2 linked regions of the Cricetulus griseus genome follow. The protein of the gene in region 1 interacts with the protein of each later gene in a pairwise test. Links are inferred from orthologs where the notes say so. Each region holds a gene or a part of one and is shown on either strand. Other genes may lie near its edges.

What was found.
Region 2: the proteins of Cltc (region 1) and C3H10orf88 interact in binary tests that used the Homo sapiens proteins (3 or more experiments, as listed by UniProt). The link is inferred for Cricetulus griseus from reciprocal best matches to the Homo sapiens genes CLTC and C10orf88.

The regions. Positions count from the first base shown.
Region 1 is NC_048600.1:99,942,219-99,946,043, forward strand, and holds part of Cltc (clathrin heavy chain 1), read right to left. Parts: coding exon 3,807-3,825; intron 3,726-3,806; coding exon 3,558-3,725; intron 3,464-3,557; coding exon 3,314-3,463; intron 3,226-3,313; coding exon 3,094-3,225; intron 3,012-3,093; coding exon 2,901-3,011; intron 2,099-2,900; coding exon 1,928-2,098; intron 1,711-1,927; coding exon 1,489-1,710; intron 359-1,488; coding exon 338-358; intron 1-337. UniProt on the Homo sapiens protein: Clathrin is the major protein of the polyhedral coat of coated pits and vesicles. Two different adapter protein complexes link the clathrin lattice either to the plasma membrane or to the trans-Golgi network.
Region 2 is NC_048596.1:69,504,014-69,507,838, reverse strand, and holds part of C3H10orf88 (ATPase PAAT), read right to left. Parts: intron 2,053-3,825; coding exon 1,846-2,052; intron 1-1,845. UniProt on the Homo sapiens protein: ATPase that regulates mitochondrial ABC transporters ABCB7, ABCB8/MITOSUR and ABCB10. Regulates mitochondrial ferric concentration and heme biosynthesis and plays a role in the maintenance of mitochondrial homeostasis and cell survival.

The sequences.
Region 1 (3,825 bases):
TCGTCCAGATACCCTGACAGGGAAAAGAAATTTCCTGATAGTTTGGAATTAATATTGAAACTCACCATGCTCAGTTTTAATATATTAAAGAGAGACTGTGAACCAACTACTGATTAGCCTCCTGCCCTTCCTAAAGCCTATTAGCCGATTAGTAGCAAACATCTACTAATGTCCTACAGCTCTATTATAGTTATGTTTCAAGGGACTTGCAGAGGCTTAGTGAAAATTTATTGGGGGGAAAGCAGCAGCAGCAGTGTAGAAAAGGAAGGAAAAAAATCATGCAAATTCCTTAGACTTAGTCCTCCAGACTTAAAGATGGAAAAGAATCAACTTTCACCTTTTCCTTTATTGCATCAACCTGCAAAGGAATTCAGAAGGTGCAGCTTAGAAAAAAATCAAATTCCATATTGAGCATAAAAAGGTAGAATCAGCAACAAAGGTTCAGGGGAGAAACATGTACCCACTAAAAAAGGTAGGAGCGAAGTGGAAGTCAAGGGCAAACGGAAGCAAAATTGAGAATCCTTTTAACTTCAAAGCTCACTGCAGAAGTATTTATGCTAAGTCAGTGTGAAAGGAAGCAGCTTAATGGCTAGTAATGGACAGCACTTAGGTTAACAGCAGCCAGGTCTCAAAAGGTGGCATTATGCATAAGAAAAGAAGCTTGGCTCCCCTGGGGCTAAACTGGGGTAACTCTTTTAATCACACTGAACTGAACTTACATAAAATATTATTCCCTTAAAAAAAAATCTAAGTGCAACATGAGGTATGTAGGTAGGTGATCCCTTGAGGAAAAAACTTTCTATCCTGGGGTTTATTTGTAGTGTTTCCCCCACTTGTACTCAGGCATGCTGAAGAGAACAGAAGTGAGACTTGATTTGTTCTGACAAAAATGGATCTTTTAATATTATTTTTCTATGCATAGCTAGTAACTCAGGACAAGCAAAATCTATTCTAACATTAAAAAGAGATGCTAACATGAACAGTAAATTTTATAAAGTGGCTGTCTCCTCAGTTTATTTAATGTGTATTTAGGAAACATGGGTAATTGCAAATTTCCTATTGTATTTTTAAATTAGATATCTGATTACCAAAAAAAAAATCTGTGATGACTAGCAGGCTGTTAATACAACAGAGCTTCCCCATGGGAAACAGGTAAAGACATGAAGTCAGAAACCAAAGGGAGTCTACAGAAGTATATATGGAAATCTGAGTTATAGGAATTAATTTTAAAATGCTATTTTAAAAGATCTCAAATATTAAAACAGAGAGTGCTATTCACTTGAAGAATACAGAGAGGGTAAACAATGACAAGCTTGAGTTCCCTTCCTAGTCATGGCATCTGTCAACACTTAAGAAAAATTCTATGTAATAGGAACATTTTATGATCAACTAAACAATTTATATTAGAAAAAATAAAACTAATATGCATGTAGAATTGCACATATTCTCAAGATTATTAGTTTTGAATATACTTCTAAGCGTCATTACCTTGGTCAAATATTCCTTCATGACCTGGATGAAATAGGGCATGGCAAAATCCATGATATTGTGCCTCCATGCCGTTTCCAGGACGACATCTGGCCTTAAAAGATCATAACAGGTAAAGAGACAAGCCCCGAAGCACTCTCTTTTTTCTTCCTGCAAAAACCACTGTAGGAGTTCTTCAGCCAATTCTGTATCTTTAGATTCAGAGGCATACTGCATCGCGTCCTATTCAGAGAAACAATGAAGGTTAGAGGTTTATCCAAGGATGCTGACACAAACCAGTCCTGGAAGTTAAAAAACAAAACAAAACAAAACAAAACCCCACTGACTAAAAGACCACATTCACAAAAGAGAGTTACACTACCAATTCTCATACCCATGAAACTAACACTTGTAAGACACTATCTGAGTTGATTGGACAGCCCACCCCCACTTTATCAACCTTGTAAAGGCTGTCTTTCTTGCACAGCTCTACGCTCTGTTTCCAGCGATTGTTGCCTTTGAAGAGATAAGCAGCAATTCTTCTGAATTCAATGAGTTCATGTTTTTCCAAACGCTGAGCAAGTGAGATATTGTCAAAGTTGTCATAAGCATCTATTGATGTTCGTAGAGCCTTAAGAGACAAAGCAATTCAAAAGTCAAAAAGGCTTTTACTTTTAACATTTATTTTTCACAATTCATTTTGATGCAGGCAATTAGATGATAGCATAAAATATAACAACATAGATTCAAGCATCAAACTACAAAAGTTGTAAGCTGGATTCAGATGTCAATCTTCTTCATCTACTTCTAATACAATAAATAAAATCCTCAAATGTACTGCACAATTTTCTGAAAGGGCAATCTGCTCCAAGGTTTCCAGTACTGATACTAACTTGAATAGCTATGGAGCTGGGAGAATATGTAATATGGACAACAACTTATGCTGCCAGGAAATAATTCATAAAATTACATGATATTCAGCCTTACAGGCTAGACTATGAGCCTAAAGGAATCATGCTGATCCAGAAGCCAGATTCTGAGGCAAGACTGCACTTTATGCACTACTAGGCAAGTTCCAGTCAGGTCAACAATTATTAAGTGAAAGAAAACAAGGCAACTAGCTTAACCTAGACATTTTCTATTTATGTGCTATCTTTCACAAAAGCAAATTTAAAAGACAAATACTAAAATATGAGACAAATACTAAAATAAAGAAAAGTAATAGTTTTTTTTTTTTTTAAAGAAAAGTAATAGTTAAGTACTTAATAACAAGTAAGTTTTATGGACTAACTGAAGAAGCCTAGGCACCCACGTGCCTGCTTCTTTATAAATGTAAAGGTAACAGTAGCTTTTACCACAGAACCTGTTTAAAGCCAACTTTAAACCTAATCAGAACCATGTTTTAAGTATTTACAAGAATCCAAAGGTTTTACCTGGTAATCTTCTTCTGTAATAAAGAGGTTGTTCAGTGACTCATTCACAGATTTGTTGTTGTGGTTCTGAACTGAGCGTAAATATGGTTTCACCAGTGGTAGCTGTTTAACCTTTAAAATAAAGTTTGTTAGAAAGATAGCCATGGTTGAAGGTCTATGAATCTTCACTATGAAGTCGGTTTGAAATGGTTACCTTGCTGAAATAATTGACAGCACGAGTGTGATCCAACCGTGGAGACAGCACCATAAGCAAGTCATTTAACAACAGAGGCTTGAATTCTAAGTAGAACTGGATTGCTCTGTAGTACAGCTCCACATTGGCCACCTAAAATAGGAGAAACCCATGCATTAAAAGCCAGTTCGTCCCCAACGAGCCCTGTCTTTCCACAGCCCATATCTCTGAAGGTATATACCTTGGTGATGATGTCTTTGAACTGCCCTTCCTTCCATGCATCAGTGGGATGGTTCATCATGGTGATTATGGCATTATCATACTCTTCATACTTGTCATACAGGAACACCAGCTCTGCCCAAAGGTGGGCTTGTTCTGCAGCTCTCAGCACCTGCACAACATAGACCAGTCGTGTAAGATGTAAGCCCAACTCCTGCTATCAGCCTAAATGATTAGAGCTGCCTTACAGTGGTGAAGATTGTTACCTTAGGAATATTCACTCTCGACCAGAACAACTCCAGGTGTTCCCTCATTTTCTGTGGCTTGAATTTAGAATACAAAATAGCTAGTTCGGTAAACATTCCCATGTGAGCTCGTTCTAGTCCCAAGGCTGCCTCCAACATGGTAATGAGTTCTTCAAAATATCCACGATCCTAAACAAGGGAAATGTGCAATTAGAGGACAGAATATCTATACAAAGATCTCAATCCATATAAAGGTCTGGTGTTCGTTACCTGATAGTAGTTGATAAGT
Region 2 (3,825 bases), on another chromosome or scaffold:
AGGTGGCAACATGTAAGGAATAGGAACATCAGAATGTCTGGAAAAGGGATCCAAGCAGCCATAGCCAAGACTGTCACTTGTGTTAAAATGCTTTTAAAGGTTAAAACCCTCAATTCTCCTGGTTCTCTTTCCTCTGCCCATACCCCAGGACTGCCCTGACTCCAGCAATGAAACCATGCAACATTTACAAATTTTTGCAGTATTTGCCTTAAATTTCCACATCAATACTGTGGTCTTTACAATGGTATCACTTAAATTTTGTAAAAGAGAATTTCATTAGTTAAAAAAATGTGGCTGACCTTGCTGAGGGAAACAGAACTACTGAGTGACAGAACAACAGCTTAGCTTCAGCTAACCTGACATTAAAACCTCTCTTTGATCACACCAGTGCCTTCTGTTCTTCTGGTGCCTCCTTCCTCTCCCCATATTTTGCTAGATTATAGCTTCTCTCCAAGAGTCTTTCTTTCTAGTTTCAGCCTCTCTGTTCACAGGGTTCCTACTGTGGGTACATCACCCAAACCTCCCTTTTAGACAGCTACCTCCTTCTCTCCTGATCCTGTCTACAAATGCTAAAATATCCTTCCAGGCAATCCCTGTTCACAGCTATATTTGATATTCCCCAAATTAGACTCCTTTTACCAAGTGTCCTCATCCCATTGGCTCCATCTATATTTCTGGTAATGCCATCCTCAAAGCCTCAATTTCTCATGTGACTTTATTTTTCTCCTTTAATTAACGGTATAGTCCCAATGACTCTATGCTTCATGGTTTATTAATCTCCCAACCTAGTATCATGTTACAACATTTAGCCTAGACTCCATCACCTCTTAGCTGGGTGAGGGAAATCACATACTGCTGGTTTCTCTGTTATAGTCTTACTTTCCTTTGACTTACCTTCCACATTAATAGTGGAATAAAATCTCTTTAAAAATAGGCCAAAGACATTTACAAACTTAAATGAACTCTCTATGTGCTATATCTCCATGATCGAGTATGAATCTTTAAATTTCTACTCTCTACTCACCACCTTTCATTTCTCAGCTAGATCCTACTCCTTCTAGCACTGAAGATCTTATCCATTACTAGCATCTCTCTAAAGTAACCAAGCTCTAGATGGACCTGACTAACTCCACCTTCCTCTTTAACAGCCCAGATGAAATGCCTCTTATTTCAGTATACCTCCCTTAATCTCATCACTCCCCAGATAGAAAGCTTAAAGACTGGCTACACACTATCTGATCACCTTTATTCCTTCAAAAGGGAGCAAGTCAGAGTCTTGTTCTCTGCCAAATGAACACATAAAATGAATTTGGGGAAAACTGAAGCTATGCAGTTAGAACATTTGTAGAAAGGCAAGTCTACAAAATGTGACTTTTTTTAAAAATTAAAAATAGATGACAGTTAAAACAATAGTAGAAACTAAGAGAAAAATTAATATACTATATTGTCATATTAAAGGTCAGTATTAAAAATGTGGAGTTTTTTGGAGGGGCACTGTGTGTGTGTGTGTGTGTGTGTGTGTGTGTGTGTGTGTGTGTGTATTTGGAAGCAGGGGAGCTATGAAGTCAGAGGATTTACTCAAGTTCTCATCTTCCACCTCTTTTGAACAAGGTCTAAACCCACTGGTATATACCAGACTAACTGGCCTGTGAACATCAGGCCTTCACCTCCCATCTTTTTGTAGGAATACAGAAATTACAGACACATTTAATAATGCCTCCTGTTTTTACATGGACTCTATGAATCCAAACTCAGGTGCTCAGGCTTGCACAGCAAGTCTTTTACCGACTGAACCATCTCCCCAAACCAGCATTTTAAAATTTAACAAAATACATCTTTACTTGCCTGCTGCTGAAACCTAATCATATTCATCAGCTGCTGAGCTCCAGGAGATAACTTTGACCCCATGGACTCCATTATGGTTTGGATACTGTCAAGGTCTATCCGTGATCCTAGAGCAGAAGAGCTTGGTGAAGGATTTGCTGACCTTGGTCTCACGTGCACCACAACTTTACTGATGAGCACACACTGCTTTTCACCGAAGGACAGCAACTATCATGAAACAAAAACATTCCAGGGAATGACAGTGGTATTAAAAACAACCATCACTTAAGATGACTTCTTAATATTACCAAAGCAAGACAGGGCATTCAAGAGTCTAAAATTAACTTCAAGTGCATTTAAAGTTTTCTTTACAGTAGTCAAACTTAGAAAATAAATTCCAATGTATCATGAGGCAAATATCAACTATTTAAATATAGAAATCCTTCCCAAGCCATAAAATACACATAAAGAACATGAAATCTTTGTTTACTTGGTCTAAGGAATTAAAAACAAGCCACAGCTGGCTGTGGGTATAGCTTGGTAGTAGAGCACTTGACTAGCATGCTCAAGGGCCCAGGTCTGAATCCTCTGTATCCTAAGAGCCCTCAATCCTAGCATTCCCCAGTTGGCATTAATATTATTTAATATAAAATAAAACTGTCCAGATGCCCATACAGCATTTGTCTAAATCCTACCCATTCTTCAGTCTTTTGTAGTTTAGAAATGAAGGGATGTGATCCCAGAACTACTTAACACGTAATAACTGGTGGTTTACATAAAAAGTGGAGTTCGGGGTGAGTTTCTAACAGGGTGAAGGATACTTAGTGGCGTAAGTCAAGCTTTGGAACCCAGCTCTCCTGGCTTTTATTACCACAGATTTTCCATTTTTGTTTATGGTGTCTTCTCACTCACTCTGGGGTACTGAGAGAATAGTAACCAGGGTCTCATTCATGCTAGGTCAGTGCTCGACACTAAGCCGTATTCCCACCACTATGACAGTTTAGGCTGTGCATGTTCCTGAACCAAAAGACACGTCATGTGTGGCATAAAGGGAAGGGCTTTAAATCAGACACACCTGAGTTCAAATTTTGAATTTTTCTATTTCATAACCTGCGCAACCATAGGCAAATGCTAAGACTAAACCAGAGGATGGTAAGATAACTTTGCATGGAGGTTTTTGTGCCAAAATAGCCACTAAGTATCACTAAGTGCTAAGAATAATGAATTAGGAACATTTACACAAGCTTTCACACATGCCAGAGGGATTCCCTAATTGAAAACTGTTCAGATTAACACATGCTCCACAGAACAGTCACAAAAATTATTCACTTTGAAAGATACATAGACCCCTGTCACAAAGACACAGGTCAATAAAAAAACAGGCTCTATAAACACTGAGTGTGATACCAAATATATGTCAGTCCTCAACAGTTAAGTAAATGCTCATTAAATTTATATTCTACCTCATTATTACTTCCCTTACTGGATGGTCTGGGATTCACTACATAGACCTAGCTGAGTGTGTGACACCATACTGGGCTCCACTGTCTCCTTTATATTGTATAATCCCAAGAGCCTTTCTCATCATTGACTACAGTATATTTTTGTCTGTTTGTATTTTCAGATAGGGTCTCTCTATGTAGCCATACCTGTCCTAGACCTTGCTGTGTAGATTAGGCTGGCCTTGAACTCATAGAGATCCACCTGCCTCTACCTCTGTCTCCCAAGTCCTGGGATTAAAGGTCTGTACCACTGGTGACCAGAGACTACAGTCTATATAAAATTTATATAATCAGTAAATCTGATTATCATCTGTCTTGTCCCACTAAAATATAAGCAACATGGAGGCTGGAGGCTGGCACTTCAATTTTCAATTCATATCCCTAAATGCCTAGTATACTATCTGTTATCAACAAGTACTAAATATCCACTAGATAATTTAAATCACTTGATTTAAATGCCTGCACAAGCTATTAGTTTATTCCACTTAAACTGACATTG